2 linked regions of the Macaca fascicularis genome follow. The protein of the gene in region 2 binds, or shares a complex with, the protein of the main gene of each other region. Links are inferred from orthologs where the notes say so. Each region holds a gene or a part of one and is shown on either strand. Other genes may lie near its edges.

Region 1 (11,828 bases), on a different chromosome or scaffold from region 2:
TACTGTTTCAGCTGAGAGAAAAGAGAGAAACCATGAGCCAAGAAAGAAATACAGAAGAATGACAACATTCACAACGTATCCAGAGGAGGGGAAGCCCAGAAAGCAACTGTCAGAGACCTATGGTGAGAATCAGGAGGAAGTGCCCTGGCAGGTTCTCTTAGGGCTGGAGAACTCAGAACCCATGTATAGGTTGAAGGAAGGTACCACTACCCTATCCTGTCTCCCCTCCATTAGCACAGGAATAGAAGACCATGAGCCTCGTGGCAAACTCTTCAGTGACGGAGGGGGACTCATTAGGAGGGGTGAAGAGGAGCACCTCAGCTTCCTCCCTGTCAGCTGACAATCACAAATCCATACCTGAGCAGAGCTGAGACGCTCATCACATAGAACACAACATGGACGAGATACCCAAATCTTCACCCTAGAATTCACTCAATATTGACTTAGCAAAGTACTAAGAATTCATTATTCATTCCCTCTGCTTTTATATATACACACACACACACACACACACACACACACACACACACACACATATATTCGCAAATTTCCATTAAAACTTAAAAAAATTTTAAGTTTAAGTTCTTCTGGAAGCAGGAGCCTTCATTCTCACCTCCTGGGTCTCTGCTTTGGGAGGCTCTGACCCTTCTTCCTCTTTATTCTCTTCAAGTGTCTTCCCAGAAAACTTCTTCAACCAGTCATCATCTGACCAAACTGAAAGGAAAGAATCAAACAAATGTTCATTCAAGCTATCAGCTTGAACTGAAAAGTAGCTGCTTTGCTCAGCAAAGTGGAAGATGCTACGTGGCCTCTATGCCAGACAGTTCCCCACTGAGAACTCCCAGGGGTAAGGAAAATTCCAATCCAGAAATGACGGCCCTGAAGTCCAGCTCTCAGGAGGGCTAAGAAAAATAGCTATGTGGAAAGCAATGGTATAGCCTTTGCTGGTTTCAGCCCTTGATGGAGCACCCCAGAAATGGAGTATCAAGAAAACTGGGAAAGATGAGCTCAAGCAGGAATTTCTCTCATAACAGAAACAATTACTCTGGCTTTGCTGAGAAGCTCAAACTCACTTTTTGTTTCTCTATAAAGGAGGTGCGTGCCCTTCCCGATGTGAACCATCTCCTATCTACCAGGAAGCAGAATTGAGCATCTACTTCCAAGTAAACAGAGACAAAAAATGCAATTAAGGCTAAACTGCAGAACATCACAGGGAATCTGGAAGTTGCTCCTACTCACCTGGCCTGGAAGAGCCTTCCTTAATTCTCATTGGTTTGGCCAAATTGACACGAATTGTACGTCCAAAAAGCTCAGATTCATTCTGAAAAGATTAAAATCCAGCTGTTTAAACTCTCTTAGATTAAAAGAGGGCCAGCCAGCTTTCCATTTACTTCTGAGACACACTCATGATTTGTCCTCCCTTAATCCTTGGGCCCCTACGAGTAAGCTATGCACCCACCCCAAAGCCACCTGTGGGTTGCAGGGAATTCTAGAACCATCACACACACCCCTTTCTTTCATAGCAGCACGCAAAGACCTGTATTACCAAAAGTAACTCTGGGTTCAGAACACTCCAAAATTACAAGAATAAATGCAGTTTCCCAGCATCTGAGTTCACCTTCAAAAGTCAAGATAAGCTTTGAAATGAAAGAAAAATGATCTCTGACAGTTGAGGAATATGTTTGGTGAATGGATAACAGAACAAGGAATAAAAGAACATTTCATTATCCATAGATAATCAGTACCAGGAAAGTTTACTTAAGGTGAATCCACTTGAAGTGCTGATGAAGATTTCATGGTAAAAGTGAAAAATTTAAAAAGGTTTGACAGGGAAATGACTGTGATGAAACTAAAAATAATAAAAACAAGTTTCTTACAATTAATATTCAGGATTAACTCTGCACTAATCGGTAGAAAGAAATGTAACAGCCCTGTTGGCTTGAGCCTGTAATTCCAGCTACTTGGGAAGCTGAGAAGGGAGGGCTGCTAGAACTCAGGAGTTCAAGACAGACGGACGGACGGCTGGACGGAGGGAAGGAAACAGACACTGAAGTATTATTTTTCCAATAAAATTCTATCAACAGTATATCTTTGCACTTCGTATCAGACATGAAAACTAAAAGGACCTCAAGGAGGGCACAAATACTAAACAGCATCATCATTTTTCCCAAGGACCTTTCCAGAACATCCAAATCATTTGTATCAGTGATTTGCACCTGCCATAATTAAATTTCTCTTCTCAATTGTAAATTGGTCATGAAATCCTATTTTGCAAAATATGCAGTTAACTGTGCAATCAATTTGCACTGTGTTTTCAAATTATCTTAGACATGGGACAGCCAGTGAGAGACTGGTCAACAAGGATGATGAGGACTTACATTATTATTAAATGGGGAAGGAGTCTGAGTAAGAACTAATTTTATAAGTGATCAATTCACAGTGAATATTTTCACGTGAGAATTTTTACCTCCCCATGCAACCTTGTAACTTTGGAAGTCCAGAACACTGATATATGAATAAGGACCCTCTGTACCACCAAAAAGCAACTTTGGTTAGAATGAAGATTCCCAGTCATACCATGTTGTCGATAGCTGCTGCAGCATCCTGCCAAAGAAAGACAACGGTACAAGTTTAGGCTTGCAGCCAAATGCTTATGGTGTCTAAACATATGTTCAGTAGCAAAAATCCAGAAAAATGCCGCCTCTACATTTCTTGCCTAGGTTGTGTATGTTTCTAACAAAGAGCACTTCCTGGCTGATTTTAGAGCTGGTGGTGCAACAATTTGCCATATGGTTGAAGGCACAAGAAATAATCACTACTGCCAGGCAAGAATGCTCAATGAACAGGGGTGTAGGAGCTAGCTCCTCTGCAGGGCAAGAATGGCAGGGCCTGGCAGAAGGTCTGACGTGTTATTCACAGTTCAGTATGATTATGTGAGAGAAGCTTTCCTTAGAACAGTACTTACTTCTGATCTCTCTGGCAGCATCAGCCTAAGGCCCAACAACCTAACCAAATGGTGAAAAGCTTCCTTTTTAATCTGTAACATCACAAACCAAGGACTAAACACCAGTAACACAGACTCTCACCTCTGCCAACTCAAATTCAACAAAAGCAAATCCTCGGTGCTTTTCTACAAAATGGAAAAACAAAAACAAGTAATTACTATGTGGGGCAGTGGGAGGAAACAGGATGGTCACAAAGTGAAGTCAGTCACATGCCATATCCAAACACCAGAAGTTCTATCCAATCACTATTTAGGAAGAAGGAATCTCATTCTTTGATTCTTCTTATACAATATTTTAAGCAATAATAAACTTTGTTTTTTTAATGGACATAGCTGAATAATAAACTGTATTGTTAATTAATAAGTATTCAACTAATCTACCAAAGCCAAACTTAAAACCTTAACTATTAGGCCGGGCGCGGTGGCTCAAGCCTGTAATCCCAGCACTTTGGGAGGCTGAGATGGGCGGATCATAAGGTCAGGAGATCGAGACCATCCTGGCTAATACGGTGAAACCCCGTCTCTACTAAAAAATACAAATAACTAGCCGGGCGCGGTGGCAGGCGCCTGTAGTCCCAGCTACTCGGGAGGCTGAGGCAGGAGAATGGCGTAAACCCGGGAGGCGGAGCTTGCAGTGAGCTGAGATCTGGCCACTGCACCCCAGCCTGGGTGACAGAGAGAGACTCCGTCTCAAAAAAAAAAAAAAAAAAAAAAAACAAAAAAACAAAAAAACCTTAACTATTGCATGCAACGCAATTAGAAAACTAAGGTCATTTGACCTATCAATTACCTATCCAATATACATTTTGTGCATCAACTGTGCATAAAGCATGAATACTAAAACCTGATAAAGATGCTCAGTCTTTATCCTCAGGAAAATGCTGAAGGAACTGGAAAGACCAAGCACAATAATGTTAATCATAGAACTCAGAGACTAGAAGGGCCCTTAGAAAGCCAATAGGCCGGGCGCGGTGGCTCAAGCCTGTAATCCCAGCACTTTGGGAGGCCGAGACGGGCGGATCATGAGGTCACGAGATCGAGACCATCCTGGCTAACACGGTGAAACCCCGTCTCTACTAAAAAATACAAAAAACTAGCCGGGCGTGGTGGCGGGCGCCTGTAGTCCCAACTACTTGGGAGGCTGAGGCAGGAGAATGGCGTGAACCCGGGAGGCGGAGCTTGCAGTGAGCTGAGATCCGGCCACTGCACTCCAGCCTGGGCAGCAGAGCGAGACTCCGTCTCAAAAAAAAAAAAAAGAAAGCCAATATAGGCCAGGCTCAGTGGCTCATGCCTGTAATCCCAGCACTTTGGGAGGCCGAGGCGGGCGGATCACAGGAGATTGAGACCATCCTGGCTAACATGGTGAAATCCCATCTCTACCAAAAAAATACAAAAAATTAGCCGGGTGTGGTGGCGGGCGCCTGTAGTCCCAGCTACTAGGGAGGCTAAGGCAGGAGAATGGCGTGAACCCGGGAGGCGGAGCTTGTAGTGAGCCGAGATCACGCCACAGCATTCCGGCCTGGGTGACAGAGCGAGACTCCATCTCCAACCAAAAAAAAAAAAAAAAAAAAAAAAGCCAATATAACCTTATCATTTTGCAAATAAAGATTCCCCAGGCCTTTAAACTCTCTGGAGAGTTTAAAGACCTTGCTAACAATCATATGCAAGGTTGATGATAAAACTAGACCTAAAACTATAATCTTAAAAATGACAACAAAGGTAAAACAGAAAACTGAACTGTGATTGTGATACCAGTCAAAGGGAAACCCACCCAGGTGTGTAGAGGCCAAGAATCCCCACCCCTGTCCCCCACTCCCCGCTCCAATTATAGGGTTAGGCTTTCCTGCTGCCCCATTTAACAGCACAGCTGCCAAGAAGGAGCAGGTGGGATCAGGTAGATTAAAACAACATTCAAATCTCAGTGTAGTTCAAACCTATCTCCCTACTGGTCTATTGAAAAATCTGTCTTATCTCAACCCAACAGCTGAAGACTGAAAGTATTCAGAGTTCACAACCACATTGCCTCAGAACATTCCTTCTCCATCAAGATCACTGTCACCAGGCACCTTCATGAACTTTCCTGTAGTGTATACTAACCATATTTAGAATGCATATTTAGAATTGCGATGTGACTTTAATTTTTTAAGGTCTTTTCCTAATAAGAGGATTCTGGATGTGAGAGACGCTAACTCACCTGTTTCATAATCCAGAGGAATCTGAATATCTGTGATATCTCCAAAAGGAATGAACGCAGCATGAAGAACTTTGTCGTCCACCTCCTCTGCCAGTCCACCTGCAAATAAGCCAAGGGCCTTCTGAGCCACTGATCTCCATACTCTTGCAGAAGTCACTGCAGCCCAGTTAGCATGCTAGCCAGGGGACAGGATCCTTCCATTCAGTTCTTTGGGTACACAAACATCCCCCTTTCATCTCTGCCCACCCACACTTATGAAAAATATTCCTCTCTTCGCCCTTCTTTCAGATTCTCATCTAGTCCTGGGATTACTGCAATAGCTTCACAACTGACCCTGCCTCCACTCCATCAACTCCACAAAGCCAACTAGAATGATCTTAGGAAAATGCAGATTTGAACCCGTAACTTTTCTGCTTAAACTCCTTCAAAGACTTCCCACTGTCCTCAGGATAAAGTGCAAACTCCTTAGCAGTATCCACTTCTCCAGCTTTTTTGCTTTGCTTCCCAATTTCCTGGGTCTCCTGAATAATGACCCACTTGCCCCCAAGTGTCAGGCTATTTCTCACCTTTGCGACTCCCTTGCAGTGAACAGCCCTGCCTCTGCTTCGGTTAGATAGCTAACTCCTGCTCATCAGCTCTGGCATCGCCACATCCAGAGTTTGCCCTCACTTCTCCAGATGCATGGGTCATTTGTCCCGCAGCCAGGCCCATATCATCATGGTCCATCCTCACTACAGCGCTTATCAAAAGTGTGCTACTGAGGTAATTCCACTTTTTTTCTGGCTAGTCTGGGAACTCCTTCCTTTATGGCGGGGGCTAGGGCTGGGGCTGGGGCTGAGCCGTCGCTGCACTGATGTTTGTAAAACAAATGAACGAGAGGATCTGGAGGACCATAATATTCCTCTACCGCTCCTCGGGGGCCGTGGAGCTCAGCGGGCTAGGAAGAAGTCAGAATAACCATGCAGTCTCGGGTTCACACACCTGAGGTGTGTGGCAAGGCTGTTCACTGAAAGAGAGTCGCAAAAGCAGAGGCCCAAGGTTGTTAAATAACCTGACCCTTGGGGGCAAGTGGGTCATTTTTCGGGAGACCCAGAGAATTGGGAAGCCAAGCAAAGAAGCTGAAGAGGTGGCTACTGCTAAGGAGTTTGCACTTTTTCCTGAGGACAGTGGGAAGCCTTTGAAGAAGTTTAAGCAGAGCCAGAGCTACCGCCAGCACTACCTCCAGAGACCCGGCCTTGACAGCTGCTCGCCGTCCTCCTGGTTCAGAGATGCGTCCCACCCCACGCCCGACCCTCTGGGGGTCGCATTTACCCAGACTCCGCCTAGCAACCCCGCCTGCTCACCCACGTACAGGACGCGCTTGGTGGTAGCCATCTTGCTCGCGCGCTTTTCCGCCGGAAGCCAGCACTCGGCCCGCCCTCTTCCCCCCGTTCCGCCCCCTCTGGCCCCGCCCCGCCCCCGCAACGCTTAGCTCTCAGACCCCGCCCACCCTCGCGTTGGTCCAACCCTCATCCCGCTACCCGGAAGCACCGGGAGCCCTGTGCGGTACGCAGTGATAAACAAAGGAACGTGGTCGTCGCGATTCCTAGTGCTTACGCTGTTGGGGGAGGCAAACCTTGGCCGAATCAACCCTATTATTATGGGCAAACGATAAACTATGGTGCGTGGTCATCGTGCGCGTCTGTTTTTGGACAACCCGGAAGCTAAGAATGAGTTTTACCTTTTGAAATAGTTGGAAAAAAATTAAAACAAAAATATTTTCTTGGCCGGGCTTGGTGGCTCATGCCTGTAGCCCCAGCACTTTGGAAGGCTGAGGCGGGCGGATCACCTGAGGTCAGGAGTTCGAGAGCAGCCTGGCCAACATGGTGAAACCCCGTCTCTACTAAAATACAAAAATCAGCCGGGCGTGGTAGCGGGCGCCTGTAATCCCAGCTACTCCAGCTACTCAGGAGGCTGAGTCTGGAGAATCGCTTAAACCCAGGTGGTGGAGGTTGCAGTGAGCAGAGATTGCGCGGTTGCACTCCAGCCCGGGTGATGAGAGCAAAACATCGTCTCAAAAAAAATTTTTTTTTCTTTTCTTAGCACATGAAAATTATGTGAAATTAAAATTTCAGTGTCCATAAAGAAAACTTTATGGGGACACAGCGACGTTCATTCCTTTAAGTATGACTGTGGCTGCTTTCCTTCTATAAGGGCGGAAAAGCTATAGCCTGCAAAGCCTGCAATAATATTTACCATCTGGCTCTTCAGGAAGAACGTTTGCCGACTCGTGTTAGGTTTTGAAAAGAAGGGAAGGGTTAAAGAAAGACACACACACACAGAGAAAGAGGGCAGCTCAACAGCAAACGTAGGCTTTATGTTCAGCATAATAACCTACAGAAGTAGGGAACCAGCCTAATGCCAGTGCCCACCACTGCTTACCGACTGGGCAATGTATAGGTATGAGCGGGAGGCGTCTGGGCAGTATGGCTTGCTGCCTGGCAGGATATTGATATAAAGATGTTCTCATGATGAGGCGGTTTGGCCCTTGTTCCGGTGGGATGTCATCATGGTGTCCCTTGGACCTTTGCCCAGCAATGTATGAGAGGGATGTTTCTTTAGTTGAGCCTTTGTCTGCCTTGTGGTCAGGGGGTTAGGCAGGATGTTTCTCACAGCCCAAACCCCTGTGAAATATTTCACTTTGACCGAGGTCTGCAGAATAGCAGGGAGCTTACAAAATGGTGCCGTTTAGACTAATATCTTGGACTAAACCCACTAATACATAAATTACAGGTTGACATAGTGGCACGAAATAATGGGATCGTCTATTTTATATGGAGCAGGGGGTTAAGACCTTCCTGAGGTGATAGTTAAGCTGAATTCTGAAGGAAAAGGAGCCAGAGAGAGGAGGAGGCAGCTTCTGCACACTCAAGGAACTAAAAGACCAGAGCCTGGGGTAGCGGGGTGGAGGGCATATCAGGTGGGAAAGGTGGGCAGAGGGCCACATCATGAGGGCGCTGTAAGCCACCTGGAAGATATGGGGGCTTTGAGAAGCTGCGGAAGTTACAACAGGAGAGTTACATGATCACATCATTTTAAATAGTGCTCTGACACTAGGCCCAGAATGGATTGATTGGAACCCTGGAGACCAGGAAATTAATGTAGTAGGCTAGGGAGGAGTTGATAGTGGCTCTGTTCCTTCAATCCACTTGTCCAAGGTGATTTTTTGTTTGTTTGTTTTTGTTTTTTGAGACCGGGTCTTGCTGTCTTACCCAGGCCAGAAGGCAGTGACATGATCATGGCTCACTGCAGCCTCAGCCTCACAGCTTCAAATGATCCTCCCACCTTAGCCTCCCGAGTAGCAGCTGGGAGTACAGGTGCACATCACCATGACCAGCTAACTTTTTTTTTTTTTTCTTTAGAGACGGGGTCTTACCATGTTGCCCAGGCTGGTCTCAAACTCCTGAACTTAAGCAATCCTCCCGCCTTGGCCTCCCACACTGCTGGGATTATAAGTGTGAGCCACTACACCCGGCCTAGGGTGATTTTTCTTCAAAATAAACCTAAATTCTCTAGAACTCCCTACTTAAATCACTGATGCTGCTCACAAGGTCCTTGACAAGGGGTCCATGCCTACCTCAAGTCAACCCTGACCTCCACATCAGCTCCTCACCTACTTACCACGGGCTCTTTTTCCTTGCTTCTGCTTTTGCTCATTGAGTTCTTTCTTTTCTCCATCTGGAGGCACCCACCAGTCCTTGTCAGAGGTCCTAGTTAAGCTTCACTCACCCAAATCCCCTATAGACAGAGTCCATAGTCCCCAAGTTTAGAAGTCAATTGACACACACCCTATAACTATAGTCAGGTATGTCTCTCTGTCTCCCAGTAGATGGAGATATTTGACACCACGGCCTGTACCCATTGTATTCCCAGAGCTAAGCAGTGGCTGCACACACAGTTGATCTTACCAACCTCATGCCAAACCAGGGAGTCGATGCTTATAGGAATGAGACTATGAGATCTGATTAGGAGAGCTGTTTGTGTACCCCTCACTATTCCAAACCAAAAGGTCACTCTCAAGAAGAATCTGACCAGGCGTCCTTTATGTGGTGTGGTATAATAAAAAATAGATATTTGGTCTTCGTCCTAGTTCCTGGCACAGAGCTTCTAAAACCATTGGAATATCCTGAGTGCTGTGTCTTTTGTTATTCATAATGAGCCCATTTTGACCATACCTAAGTTTATGCTAAGCAGATGACTCAAGATAGAACCCCTAGCTCGCTTCAGGATGGGGGTTGGTCACCAGAGAAACAAACCACGTGATTAGAGGGTTGGGACTTCCAGCTCCCGCCTTCAACCTCTGAGGAGAGGAGGGGGTTGGAAATTGGGTTCAATCACCAACGCCCAATGGTTTAATCAGCCATGCCTAGGTAATGAAACCTCATATAAACACTCTTAATGCGGTTTGGGGAGTTTCCAGGTTGGTGAACACATTGATGTGCTTGGAACGCAGCATGCCTAGAGAGGGCATGGAAGCTCTCCAGCCCCTCTCCATTCCCACCTTGCCCTGTGCATCTTTTCCTATAATCTTTACAGCCAGGTTTGAATGCATTGTTTGGATAAGCAGGAACAAACTTCTCCTGTGGGGAAGATAGTTCATAAAAAACCAGATGGAATCTCAGTAACCCTGGTGTCTGGGTCAGCACAAGCTTCTGGCCCTCTCTTCTTTTGTAGGCACATGCGTCACTCACTCAGCACCTGCTTCTGTTCTTGGGAAAGTATTGCTGCCAGCATGGAGGCAGTCAGGGGTTCCTGGCCTGCACATGGACAGCAGGCTGGGGTGCCTGGGAACCAGGAGAAGCAGTGGGTTAGCACCCAAGGAAAGGATAGCACTCGATGGTGGTCAAAGTTAGGACACTCCAACCACTTGACACCTGAATGCTACCATTCAGAATCCAGGGGAAGGGGAGAAGTAATGGTTTTTGACCAAATTCAGCCCATTGTGAGGGGAGTGGTGGTGATACAAAACTGTATAGATTCTCGTCCAAGCGCAGTGCCTCACGGCTGTAATTCCAGCACTTTGGAAGACTGAGGTGGGTGAATTTCTTGAGCTCAGGAGTTCGAGACCAGCCTGGCCAATATGGCAAAACCCTGCCTCCACTAAAAACACAAAAATTTGCCAGGCGTGGTGGTGTCCGTCTGTAGCCTCAGCTACTCAGGAGGCTGAGGCAGAAGAATTGCTTGAACTTGGGAGGCGGAGGTTGCAGTGAGCCGAAATCGTACCATTGCACTCCAGCCTGGGCGGCAGAGTGAAACTCCGTCTCAAAAAACATAACTATGAGGCTGAGTGTGGCGGCTCATGCCTATAATCCAAGCAATTTGGGAGGCCGATGTGGGCGGATCGCCTGAGGTCAGGAGTTCAAAACCAGCCTGGCCAACATGGTGAAACCCTGGCTCTACTCAAAACATGAAAATTAGCTGGATATGGTGGTGCACACCTGTAGTCCCAGCTACTCGGGAGGCTGAAGCAGGAGAATCACTTGAACCCAGGAGCCAGAGGTTGCAGTAAGCCAAGATGGCGCTACTGCACTCTAGCGTGGGTGATAGAGTAAGACTCCATCTCAAAAAAACAACCAAACAGAAAAACTATATAGATTCTCATCATATGTATAATAACATGCAACGTAATTAGAAAGGGGAGGTGAAAAGAGCCCATACAGAGCACACCTACTCTGTGTTGGGCCTAGTGCTAGGGAGATATTTCCACAGACATTTAGTTGTCACAAACTTGAGATAGAGATTATCTCCCCATTTTACCCAGGCCACCCAGGGAGGTCAAGCAATTTACTCACATTAGCAAAGTAATAACTGAGTATTTAATTTGTTGATTGAATATATAAAGCTCCAGTAACTATCATTAGCAGTACAGCTTTTTTCTAAGGACCACATTATCTCCTTTGGAGGGATGCCCAGAAATGATTGGACCAAAAGGTGTAAATACCAAAACAGTTATAATTATTATATGCCATAATGCCTCTTTCATTAAATGCTCTAGAAACATTAGCATACGATGTCAGTGATGAGCTCCAGTCTAGAAGCAGGTCCCTGAAGGCAGCAGAAAGGCTTCGTATCTTTTCACGTGGCATTAAGTTCTGGAAATCGCTTTAGAAAGCTAGGTGAAATGTAGGTGAAGTGAATGGGAAGTAAGGTGAAATGAATTTAAGTAGGTGAAATGAATGGGAGTGTGGGAAGCATCATTCTCCTATATTTCTGAGGGGAGTAGTTAGACATCATAGTCACACTTAGCACAATTTGTATTTACATTTACTTTTTATGTTTTTGAGACAGAGTCTCACTCTGTTACCCAGGCTGGAGTGCAGTGGTGTGATCACGGTTCACAGCAGCAGCCTTAAGCCTCAACCTCTGGGCTCAACCTCCTGCCTCAGCCTCCCGAGTAGCTGGAACTAATGACTAGTGTGCACCACCACACCTGGCTAATTTTTCCGTTTTTTTTTTTTTTTTGTAGAGACGGGGTTTTGCCACATTGCCCAGGCTGGTCTCGAACTCCTGGGCTCAAGCGATCCTCCCACCTCAGCCAGCCAGGGTGCTGGGATTATAGGCATGAGCCACAGCGCCTGGCTGCATTTACAT
Region 2 (11,394 bases):
TATTTATCTAAGGTCTGCTCTGAGACAACTTTTATTACCTGAGAGACTCTGTAGTGCACTTCCTCCCCATCCCCCTACACAACTTGTGTCACCACCACCCCCTAGAAGCCTTAGGCCCCTACTCCCTTCTGCAGCTCAGGATGCCATAGAGTCATGTGTCACATAATGACATGTCGGCGATGGACCACACAATGGTCCCATAAGATTACAGTGGAGCTGAAAAATTCCTATCACCAAGTGATGTCATAAACATCTTCATGTCACCGTGCAATGCATTACTCACGTTTGTGGGGATACAGGTATAAACAAAACTATTACACTTGCAGTTGTATAAAAGTACAACAGCTGGGCGCGGTGGCTCACGCCTGTAATCCCAGCACTTTGGGAGGCCAAGGCAGGCAGATCATGAGGTCAGGAGTTTGAGACCAGCCTGGCCAACATAGAGAAACGTCATCTCTACTACAAAAAAAAAAAAAAAAAAAAATTAGCCAGATGTGGTGGCACATGCTTGAACCCGGGAGGCGGAGGTTGCAGTGAGCCAAGACCGAGCCATTGCACTCCAGCCTGGGTGACAGAGCAAGACTCCATATCAAAAAAAAAAAAAATGTATAACACAATTAGGTACAGTACAAATAACTACGTTACTGGTTTATGTATAAGCGTATCTCAGGGATATTGCTGGTTCAGCTCCAGGCCACCAATAAAGCAAATACGCAATAAGGCAAGGCACACAAATTTTTTTGGTTTCTCAGTACATATAAAAGTTATGTTGGCCAGGCATGGTGGCTCATGCCTATAATCCCAGCACTTTGGGAGGCCAAGGCAGGTGAATCACTTGAGGTCAGGAGTTCAAAACCAGCCTGGCCAACATGGGGAAACCCCGTCTCTACTAAATATACAAAAATTAGCCGGGTGTGATGGTGCACACCTGTGCTAGAACCCAGGAGGTGGAGGTTGCAGTGAGCTGAGATCGTGCCACTGCACTCCAGCCTGGGCGATAGAGACTCCATCTCAAAAAAAATGTTATGTTTACACTATACTGTAGTCTATTAAGTGTGTAATAACATTATGTCTAGTAAACAATGTACATACCTTAATCAAAAATACTTTTTTTTTTTTTTTTTTTGAGACGGAGTCTCGCTCTGTCGCCCAGGCTGGAGTGCAGTGGCCGGATCTCAGCTCACTGCAAGCTCCGCCTCCCGGGTTCAGGCCATTCTCCTGTCTCAGCCTCCTGAGTAGCTGGGACTACAGGCGCCCGCCACCTCGCCCGGCTAGTTTTTTGTATTTTTTAGTAGAGACGGGGTTTCACCGTGTTAGCCAGGATGGTCTCGATCTCCTGACCTCGTGATCCGCCCGTCTCGGCCTCCCAAAGTGCTGGGATTACAGGCTTGAGCCACCGCGCCCGGCCAATCAAAAATACTTTATTGCTAAAACATGCTAACAACCATCAGACACCTCAGAGAGTTGTAATCTTTTTCCAAGACCCCCCAGCGGGGTCTTGCCTTGATGCTCACGGCTGCTAACTGACAAGGGTGATGTCTGCTGAAGGCTGAAGTGGCTGTGGCAATTTCTCAAAATAAGACAACAATGAAGTTTGCCACATCGTTTCATTCTTCCTTTGACAAAAGATTTCTCTGTGATGGATGCTGTTTGATAGCATTTTACCCACAGCAGAACTTTCAGACTGGAACCAATCCTCTCAAATTCTGCATCTGCTTTATCAATTAAGTTTATGTAATATTCTAAATCCTTCATTACCATTTCACCAATGTTCACGGCATCTTCACCAGGAGTAGATTCCATCAAGAAACCACTTTCTTTGGTCATCCTTAACATCTCCTCATCCATTAAAGTTTTAACATGAGACTGCAGCAATTCAGTCACAGCTGTAGACTCCATTCGGATTCTAGTTCTGTTACTATTTCCTCCACATCTGTAGTTACTCCCTCCACTGAAGTCTTCAATCCCTCAAAGTCATCCAAGAGGGCTGAAGGGTTGGAATCAATTTCTTCCAAACTCCTCTTTATGTTAATAGTTTAACCTCCTCCCATGAATCACAAATGCTTTTAAGGGCATGTAGAATGGTGAATCCTTTCCAGATTTTCAATTTACTTTGTCCAGATCCATCAAAGGAATCACTATCCATGGCAGCTATAACTTTATAAAACATATTTCTTAAGTAATAAGACTTGAAAGTCAGAATTACTCCTTGATCCATAAGCTGAAGATTGGATGTTAGCAGGCATGAAACATCTGCATCTGAGCTTTAGGGTAATGAGGTGCACTGTGATATTTTGAAAGGACTCTATTTTTCTGAACAGTACCTTTTAATGGTGGGCTTAAAAAACATTCAGTAAACCATGCTGTAAACAGACGTGTTGTCATCCAGACTTTGTTGTTCTATTTACAGAGCACGGGCAGAGTAGATTTAGCCCTGCATTCTTAAGGGCGCTACAATTTTCAGAATGCTAAATGAGTTTTGGCTTCAATGTAAAATCACCAGCTGCATGAGTTCCTAACAAGGGAATCACTCTGATCTTTGCAGCTTGGACACCAGGCATCGACTTCTCTCTAGCTGTGGAAGTTCTAGACATCACCTTCTTCCAATAGAAGGCTATTCCATCTACACTGAAAATCTTTTGAGTGTAGCCCCCGTCAATGATCTCAGCTAGGTCTTCCGAATAACTTACTGCAGCTTCTACATCAGCATCTGCTGCTTCACCGTGCACTTTTCTGTTATGGAGATGGCTTCTTTCCTTAAACCTCATGAACCAACCTCTCTGTTAGCTTCAGACTTTTCTTTCAGCCTTCATAGAATTCAAGAGTTAGGATCTTGGTCTGGATTACGGTTTGGCTTAAGAGAATGTTGTGGCTGGTTTGATCTATCCGGACCACTGAAACTTTCTCCGTATCAGCAATAAGGTTGTTCTGCTTTCTTATCATTCGTGTGTTTACTGGAGTAGCACTCTTAATTTCCTTCAAGAATTTTCCTTTGCTTTCATAACTTGACTAACATTTGGCATTAAGAGGCCTAGCTTTTAGCCTATTTGGCTTTTTGCATGCCTTCCTCACTAAGCTCAATCATTTCTAGCTTTGAGTTTTAAGTAAGAAACATGGGACACTTTCTTTCACTTGAACACAGAGAGACCATAATACGGTTATTAACTGGCCTAGTTTCAATATTGTTGTGTCTAAGAGAACAGGGAGGTCTGAGAGGGAGAGAGATGGGGAACGGCTGGTGGGTGGAGTGGTCAGAACACACACACCATTTCATTTATCGATTTAGTATCTTATATGGGCACATTTCATGGTGCCCCCCCAACAATTACAATAGCGACATCAAAGATCATTAATCAGAGATCACCATAACAGACACAATAAATCATGAAGTTTGAAATACTGTGAGAATTACCAAAATTTGACACACAGACACAAAGTGAACACATGTTGTTGGAAAAACGGCACTGACAGACTTGCTCGGGGCAAGGTTGCCAAAAACCTTCAATTTATAAAAAGCAAAGTATCCACAAAGTACAATAAAGCTAAGTGCAATAAGACAAGGTATGCCTATCCTATACTTTTTTGGGTATTATTTTAAGCATACCCTTTCCACTTATAAAAAAAAGTTAATTGTAAAATAGCATCAAGCAGGCCCTTTCAGGAGGTATCCGAGAAGAAGGCATTATCATCCATAGGAGATGACAGGTTTACGTGTGTTAGTGCCCCGGAAGACCTTCCGGTGGGACAAGATGTGGAGGTAGAAGACAGTGATGTTGGTGCTATGGTTAGGCTTCGTGCCCCGACCCAAATCTCGTCTTGAATTGTAGTGCCCGTAATCCCCACGTGTTGTGGGAGGGAGCCAGTGGGAAGTAATTGAATCATGGGGGTGGTTACCCCCATGCTGTTCTCATGATAGTGAGTTCTCACGAGATCTGATGGTTTTATGAGGGGCTTTACCCCCTTTGTTCAGCATTTGTCTCCCCTGTCACCATGTGAAGAAAGATGTGTTTGCTTTCCCTTCTGCTATGACTGTAAGTTTCCTGAGGCCTCCCCAGTCACTGGGAGTCAATTAAACCTCTTTCCCTTATAAATTACCCAGGCAGTTCTTCACAGCAGTGTGAGAACGGACTAACACAGTTGGTGATCCTGATCCTGTGTAGGTCTAGGGTAATGTGTGCTTGTGTCTTAGTTTTTAATAAGAAAAGTTTAAAAAGTAAAAAATAAAAATTAAAAAAATTAGAAAACAGAAAAAAGCTTATAGAATAAGAATGTAGAGAGACAATATTTTTGTACAGCTGTACAATGTGTTTTTGTTTTAAGCTAAATGTTATTACAAAATAATCCATTTTTTTAAGTTTATAAAGTAAAAGTCAGTTAAGGCTTATTACTGAAGAAAAAGCTATTTATGAATTTAGTAAAACCTAAATGCACTGTGTTTATGAAGTCCACAGCAGTGTACAGTAATGTCCTAGGCCTTCACATTCACTCACAACTCACTCACTGAACGCAACTTCCAGTCCTGCAAGCTCCATTCATGGCAAGCAATATACCAGTGTACCATTTTTAAAAAATCTCTTCTACCTTATTTTTACTGAACCTTTTCTATGTTTAGATTGGTTTAGATACACATATACTCACCACTGTGTTATAACTGTACTCACTACATGTAATATGCTGTACCGGTTTGCAGCCCAGGAGCAGTAATAGACTACACTAAGGTTATAGCAACAGCCTTGGTGTGTAGCAGGCTACACCATTCAGATACGTGTGAGTTCACCCTACAATGGTCACACATGATGAAATCACCTAATAAGACATTTCTCAGAACATATCCCCATTATTAAAGGATATATAGACTGTATAAGCTTCAATCATCTGACCTTTCTGCAGGTCTAATATAATGTGGGCCTCCCATGCATATGCACGTCATTAAAATGGCTTTCCTCCTGTCACTCTGCCTAATGTTCATTGATTTCAGATTCAGTTATCAAACCTTCAGAGGGAGGAGTTTTCTCTCCCTTCAGTAACCTGCCCAATGCCACACGGCATGAAGTGGCAGAGCGACTACTAGCATCCACTGCCACGCAGTCTGACTCAGTCTGCTTCCTTAGCCATAAAGCTCTGCCTCAGGTGGTAACCGAAAGCTGCTTAGGTAAATTCATGCAAGTCCTAGAAATTCCTAACCCAGTGAGGCTTCCCTCCGGGCCTGGGCACCTAGAGACCCCAGGAGCCCAGGACCAGCCTCTACCTGTAAAGTGAAGAATCTCCGTCCATTGTTTGCAGATGTAGATCTGGACATCCGTGCCCCCAAGGGCTAGGTAGGTACCACTCTGGTCAAAGATCAGTGACTTTACCTGCCAGAAACAGAAAGAGAGAAGGTCACACAAGGGGAACAGAAACTATGGGGCAATTGCGGATAAGCAGAAGCAATTAGATTAATTCAATAAATAATCGACAAACAAGGAGACACAATGGAAAGCTGGGTGGGGCGGGGGAAGGGCATACCTCGAAGTTGTTATCCAGCTGCAATGTCTTAAAGTTCTTAAGCTTGCGCAGATCCCATAGCTTGACAGAGGAGTCATCAGCCGCTGTAGCCAGGTAGTAACCATTCTCAGAGAAGGCGATGCTAGTGATGGGGCCCGAGTGGCCAGGGAAGTTGGCCACATTAGTACGTTCCTACAGTGGTGGTGGGTAGTAAAACACGTCACCCACAGATCATGAGAGGAAGAAAATGGAGCTCACCAAACCCCTACCTGAGATGTCCCTCACTGTCCTTCCAGGAAGGCCAGCCAGCGGGACCCCGCAGACCACACCATCATATCACACAGGCATAGCCAGCGATGGCCCCTTCAGTGCCAGGTGCCACAAGCACCTCATCAGCACCACGTTGTCACAAACACCCGCTCTGGCCCTGGGCCTCAGATGGAAGCCCACCGTGTCCTACCTTCAAGTCCCAGATCTTGATCTGAGAGTCCATGGTTCCTGTGCCAAAGATGAGTCCATCAGGGTGGAACTGTGCACAGGTGAGAGCTGTGGAGGAGGAAGACGGACCTGTGGTCAGAGCCCACCAGGGAGAGACTAAGAGCAGCAAAGTTAGGTTCCTTGTTCTTCACGGTCCTCAGTGCACCCAGCACAAAGCCTGCACTAGGCAGGTGCTGATGGTAAATGTATCTTTAGAACAAATAAGCAAACGACTAAATAAAATGTAAAAGTAAATAATAAATAGCAAACAAAAAGGCTGAGCGCCTACGAGGCAACTTACAGCAGCCAGAGGTCTCATCTGTCACCTTGGTGAGCACACGCCCTGTCTGGATGTCAGAGAAAGCCCAGTACTGGGGGGAAAAAAAAAGAGAGAGAGAGAGAGAATGGAGTCAGTGAGAAAGTGGGTCCCAGGCTTTGGTGGCCTTTCAGGTAGACAGAGCCCCTGGTCTGGTAAACCCTGGCAAACCTAGCACCTCCCAGCAGAGAGGAAACATTCTCCTTTGAGGTTCTGGGGAAGCAGCTGGGGTGGGAAGATGTTCCCGCCACCCAGGATGTTCAAGCTTGGGGACCAGCAAGCCTCTCCAGGGCACTGGCTGGGACCGCACCTGATCATCGGAGGAGCTCAGGAGATAGTCACCAGTGGCGTGCAGGCTGAGGCCTGTCACAGCACTCTCATGGGCCCGAACCACCTGTACACAAGAGGCATTGGGGACCGACCAAATCCTGATAGTGGCATCGGGGGAAGCAGAAAACACCAGGTCCTACAAGGAAAACAAAGACAGAGTATCAGAGTCAGAGAAGAGACACAGATCAAAACAATGTTATAAAAGGAGGCAGGGGATGCCCAAAACTACCAACAATTGCTTCACCTTTCAGCCCTGCCCTCCCTGGAACCACCTACCCACCCAAAGGTGCCCACAACAGCCAATGGTAAACGCTATTCAAGTCGTAACTCATACATCATCAGGGCTTGTGGAGGCGTCCGCGCCATCTAGTGGTAAAAAGGCTAACTGCAACAGAGAGCAATTTTCCCATTTCCAGGACCAAAGGAAGAATGTAGCTAGTATAATTGAGGGACTGAATTTTTTATTCTATTTCATTGAAATTTAAGTAGCCACATGTAGCTAATTGCTACTGTACTGTATGGCACAGGTCTGGGCAGTACGGGGACTCGAAGGGGCTGCATGGCTGTATTTCAGTGCATCCCACATTTATGGATTTCCAGGGTAAGTTAGTTTTCCAAAAGATTTGGGGCAGGGAGAGAATTTCGTATCACTCACTCACCAATTTTTTGTTTAGTTAGGATATTAAAAGCCACAAGGCAAAAATAACTACCATCTTTATCAATACAATTTCATGAGACCTAACTATTAATACCCCATAAGCAAGAAAACAGTGCCCTCGATTTGAGTAATTTAGTCATGAAAAATTCACCATGTCATTCTTACATTTCTCATTTCCCTAAGGTCCAAGGGAAAGCTCGACTGGGAAGCGCTAAACCAACCACTGTCCTGCAGCCCCAAACCCAAACTGTCTTAGGCTTGAAATTCGAATCCCATAATATCATTAATCCAGTCCCATGAGTTACCTTTATCCTATAAACCAGAGGTTCTATTTACAACCCACACCACTTTCAATAGTCAACATGACTTTAACCCGTCTCGGAGGGTCATGAGAAAGCAAATACATCTGTCTTCCTCATACCTGTGAGTTGAGATTGAGTTGAGCTTTGTTTTCTGTAGTTTATATGACGAACACTATAAGATTTTTTCTTTCCCTAATATAAAACTTTTCAATGAATATGCTTGTCAAACTACACATTTCCCTTCTCTCCCTGGCTGGAAGACCACTGCTTTAGAAGGTCTCACGCAGAGTGAAGGGCAATCTCCACAACTCCAAAGTGAAGCCCTTCCAAGTGCCCACTCAGGAGTCAGCGCTCTTTCTCAGCCCCACTTCACAGAGACAGCAGGGGGGCGAGGGACAAACAACAGCCAAGGAAAGAAGATCCAAAGGTGGCAAGAACCCCTTACCTGGGAAGGGTGAAACACCACGCTGGTGACCTTCTTGGTATGGCCTTTGAGGGTAGCCAGGATTTGTTCCGAACTTTTGTCAAACACAACGACATTTTTATCTGCCCCACCTGGAGAAGACCCAAAGAGACCATACAATGAGTCAGGCCCACCCAGGCCCTTTTGCTGAAGGAAATGCTTTTGTCCCCATGCCCATGAAGAGGACAAGGCGCATGCAAATTCCCCGCTGCCCCTCCCCACCTTGGCCTGCTGGGCTAGGCCCAGACTCTCACCAGTGAGGATCTTGTTAGTGTCAGACGGGCAGAGGTCCAGGGCCAGGATCCCAGGAATGCTGGCACTGTGCAACCCCTTTGCAGAGAGACACACCAAACCCTGTCACAGCCAAATCACAGCAGGCCACAAAGCCACAGGTCTCCCCTACTGCCATCCCCAGTCACCCATGTTCTCAGGGGAGCAAGAGTTACTTCTACTCCTTATCCATATCTCTTGGCTATCTGCCTGCTGCGGTAACTCCTTCACTGCATCACTGGGAAACCCACAACTGGGCAGGAAGAGGAGCCCTGACAGCTCAGCAGCCCAGGCAAGAAACAGCGCCAGGAACAGTGCCAGGAGCCCGGGACAGCTCTGTACTCAGCACTCCCCATGCTGGCCCACCCACCCCAGACACAAAACAGGAGGGCTGTCTCCAAGACAGTGAAGACCCAGACACTCACCACATGGGACGCCACCTGCCGGTATTTGCTGAGCTCTTCTGGCTTCACCAGCTCCTCAGGCACAGTCTTCCCTCTCTGAGAAAATGAAAAAGCCCCCAAAGTACAGCAGCAATGAATCCAAGATCAGCCAGCCCCCTTTCTCCTAAGGGGTCAACTGCCTCCCACCAGGCCAGCTCTTTCTCCTGGCTTCAAAAGAGAACTCACCTTCTTGCGCTCCGTGGTTAGCACAGTGGCTTTGTCTTGAAGCTGGGGAAGAATAGGCTCAATGTGAGACAAATTATCTTGCAAGGAGAAAAGCACATTGGATGCTGGTCACACCTGTGCTTTCACAAGCAACACCCAGAATTTGCTATCTGCCAATTTCTACATTACAGGCTTAAAGGCATTCTCTCTTCTTACTTCCATCCCAGCTTTATAAGGGGGGTGTTGATGACCTTATTTTACAGCTGAGGACACTGAGCCTCAGAGAAGTGAAGTCAATTGCCCAAGGTTGCAGAGGTGATAAATAGCAGAGCAGGAATGGAGGCCAGGACTGTAGAGCTCCCATAGGTCTACATGCCACTCAGCCAAGGGCTCAGACACATGCTGACAATTTGAACTGCTCAGAAAGACACTAAAAAGCCCTGCAAATGAGAATCCCACTGGACTTGCAATCAGGAGCCCAGCTCTGCCTCTGATGTGTCTTTCATCTGTAAAATAAGGATTATAATTCCTGTCCTATTGCCCTCATAGAAAAAAAGCAAGAAAATATATAAAAGTAGTTTACTATCTGCAAATAATACCCAAAACAATAAGGGCTAAAAGGTGCACTTATCAGTAATTAAATCATTTAGATTCCCACATCAAGCCTATAAAGTGGATATTATTATATTCTCAGTTTAGAAGCTACAGAAATGAAACTTGGAAATCGGCTAAGGAAGCCAAGGTCATGTAGCTTACAAGTAGTGGCATCAAAATACAAACCCAGGCAATCTGGGCCCAGAATCCACGCTCTGCACCACTCAACTCCCAAAAGCATAGCGATTTTAGTCACGATGGACTCTAGACAGATGGGGAAAAGTAAGGGCCCATCAGCACTCCCACCAGGTGAGAGCAGGACTTACCTTCTGAATAATCTCTGGGGTCATTCCCACCAGCTCACCCAAATCCATTGGCTCGCCCGCACCCTGAAGAGAAGAAAGGTGAGGGTGAGGGGCACAGAGCACCAAAGACACCTACATAAGGACAGCTCTGTGGGCCACTGCACACAAATGGGCTGTGGTAAGGGAAGGGGGACACTTACTACAACACTTGGTTGGGAACTTGGCACAGCCTGGGGCACAATGAGACCAGCCTGTGGTTTCAGGGTAGCCAGAGCTGAGAGAAAAGACGATGTTAGAAATGGGATATTACAAAGCAGAACCAGCTCAGGGTGGGGGATGGCAGGGGGCAGGCTGCACCTTCTCGGGCAGCAGTGACTTCCTTGGTGAGACGGGCAATGACACGGCAGGCGGCATCGTGCTGGTACAGAGCGTGCGACAACTCTTGGCGGGTTGTCTGCAGCTGCTGGCGCAGAGTGAAGCTGTGCAGCATGACTGCATCCTGGGAGAGGCAAATATTACTGTGAGCTGAGGCGGGGGGCGCAGGGAGCACCCAGTGGAGCCAGCTCTTGGGGAGTGGATGCTGCCTCCTATCCCACAGCCTAGACCAGTATCAGTGACCCAAACAATATCCGAGCACCATGAATATGCCAGCAGACACTCTTGAGCTCCTACCCCAAGCCAAACACTGGGCACACAGACAGGAGTGGCAGTCAGCTCTTTCCCATCCCTACTTTCCCTAATTTACTGGCAAATTCCAGCTGTCATGCCGTCACCTCTCTAAAAGTGGATAACAACACTGCTGCTGCTGCTATTTATTGATTGCCCTCTTTGTGTCAGGCACTGTGCCAGACAGTCCTGCAGGATGTATTCAATCATTCAGTTCATAATTCTAGAGCACCTACTACGTACCAGGCGCTCTCAGTGCTGGGGATACAACAAAGAATAAAACAAAACCCTGATGTCACAAAACCCTGATGATGATTATCTAAATAATTCTCCATCCTTCCCACCCCCAAGTCCTAACTCAGCGATGCATTCTCTTCAAGTGGGGAAGATGCTAATTCTCTTGCAGGAACTCACCCACTCATCCTGCAAGGCTTTCAGAATGGCCGGGATGCTGGTGGCTGAGGGAGGCTTGGGCCGGATTGGGTGAGCAACTGCCGAAAGGGAAAGTAGGTATGAAGAGCATAACCCAGGGACCTCCCCTGCCATCACATCTTTTCCTTTTAGCCATAAACAGCCCACCATCTCCTCCTCCAGTGCATTGGCACCACCTCCCATCCTCTCAGGCTCTGAGCTAAGATGGCCCTAGACTAAGGCAGCCAATAGGCACCTTTGATGTCGATGAGCTGCTCCTCGGAGAGAGGCTGGTTGTTGATGGGGTCGGTACCATTCTCTGCAATGTACTTCTCAATGAGCCGCCGCTCATAAACATGATTAGAGACAGGGGACACACATGGGTGCTCCGGCACTTCATTAGAGACTGTAGAGAAAAGGCCGGCAGTGAGCTTGGAGTGAAGGCAATCTTGAGCCTAGAGGATTCCTCATCTGCTATTAGCCCCAACAAGACTAGGCATCCTCACAATC

Evidence for each region.
Region 1: PRPF19 (region 2) and PPIE share a complex: the UniProt entries of both Homo sapiens proteins name them as parts of the XAB2 complex. The link is inferred for Macaca fascicularis from reciprocal best matches to the Homo sapiens genes PRPF19 and PPIE.

What each region holds. Positions count from the first base shown.
Region 1 is NC_088375.1:195,153,374-195,165,201, forward strand, and holds the start of PPIE (peptidyl-prolyl cis-trans isomerase E), read right to left. Parts: upstream 6,592-11,828; 5' UTR 6,573-6,591; coding exon 6,542-6,572; exon of another isoform or gene 5,765-6,541; intron 5,298-5,764; coding exon 5,199-5,297; intron 3,131-5,198; coding exon 3,087-3,130; intron 2,605-3,086; coding exon 2,578-2,604; intron 1,322-2,577; coding exon 1,240-1,321; intron 715-1,239; coding exon 614-714; intron 1-613. UniProt on the Homo sapiens protein: Involved in pre-mRNA splicing as component of the spliceosome. Combines RNA-binding and PPIase activities.
Region 2 is NC_088388.1:13,370,948-13,382,341, reverse strand, and holds part of PRPF19 (pre-mRNA-processing factor 19), read right to left. Parts: intron 11,291-11,394; coding exon 11,141-11,290; intron 10,965-11,140; coding exon 10,888-10,964; intron 10,307-10,887; coding exon 10,165-10,306; intron 10,082-10,164; coding exon 10,008-10,081; intron 9,892-10,007; coding exon 9,829-9,891; intron 8,972-9,828; coding exon 8,930-8,971; intron 8,801-8,929; coding exon 8,726-8,800; intron 8,361-8,725; coding exon 8,285-8,360; intron 8,123-8,284; coding exon 8,013-8,122; intron 6,744-8,012; coding exon 6,588-6,743; intron 6,333-6,587; coding exon 6,263-6,332; intron 6,031-6,262; coding exon 5,945-6,030; intron 5,677-5,944; coding exon 5,506-5,676; intron 5,355-5,505; coding exon 5,249-5,354; intron 1-5,248. UniProt on the Homo sapiens protein: Ubiquitin-protein ligase which is a core component of several complexes mainly involved pre-mRNA splicing and DNA repair. Required for pre-mRNA splicing as component of the spliceosome.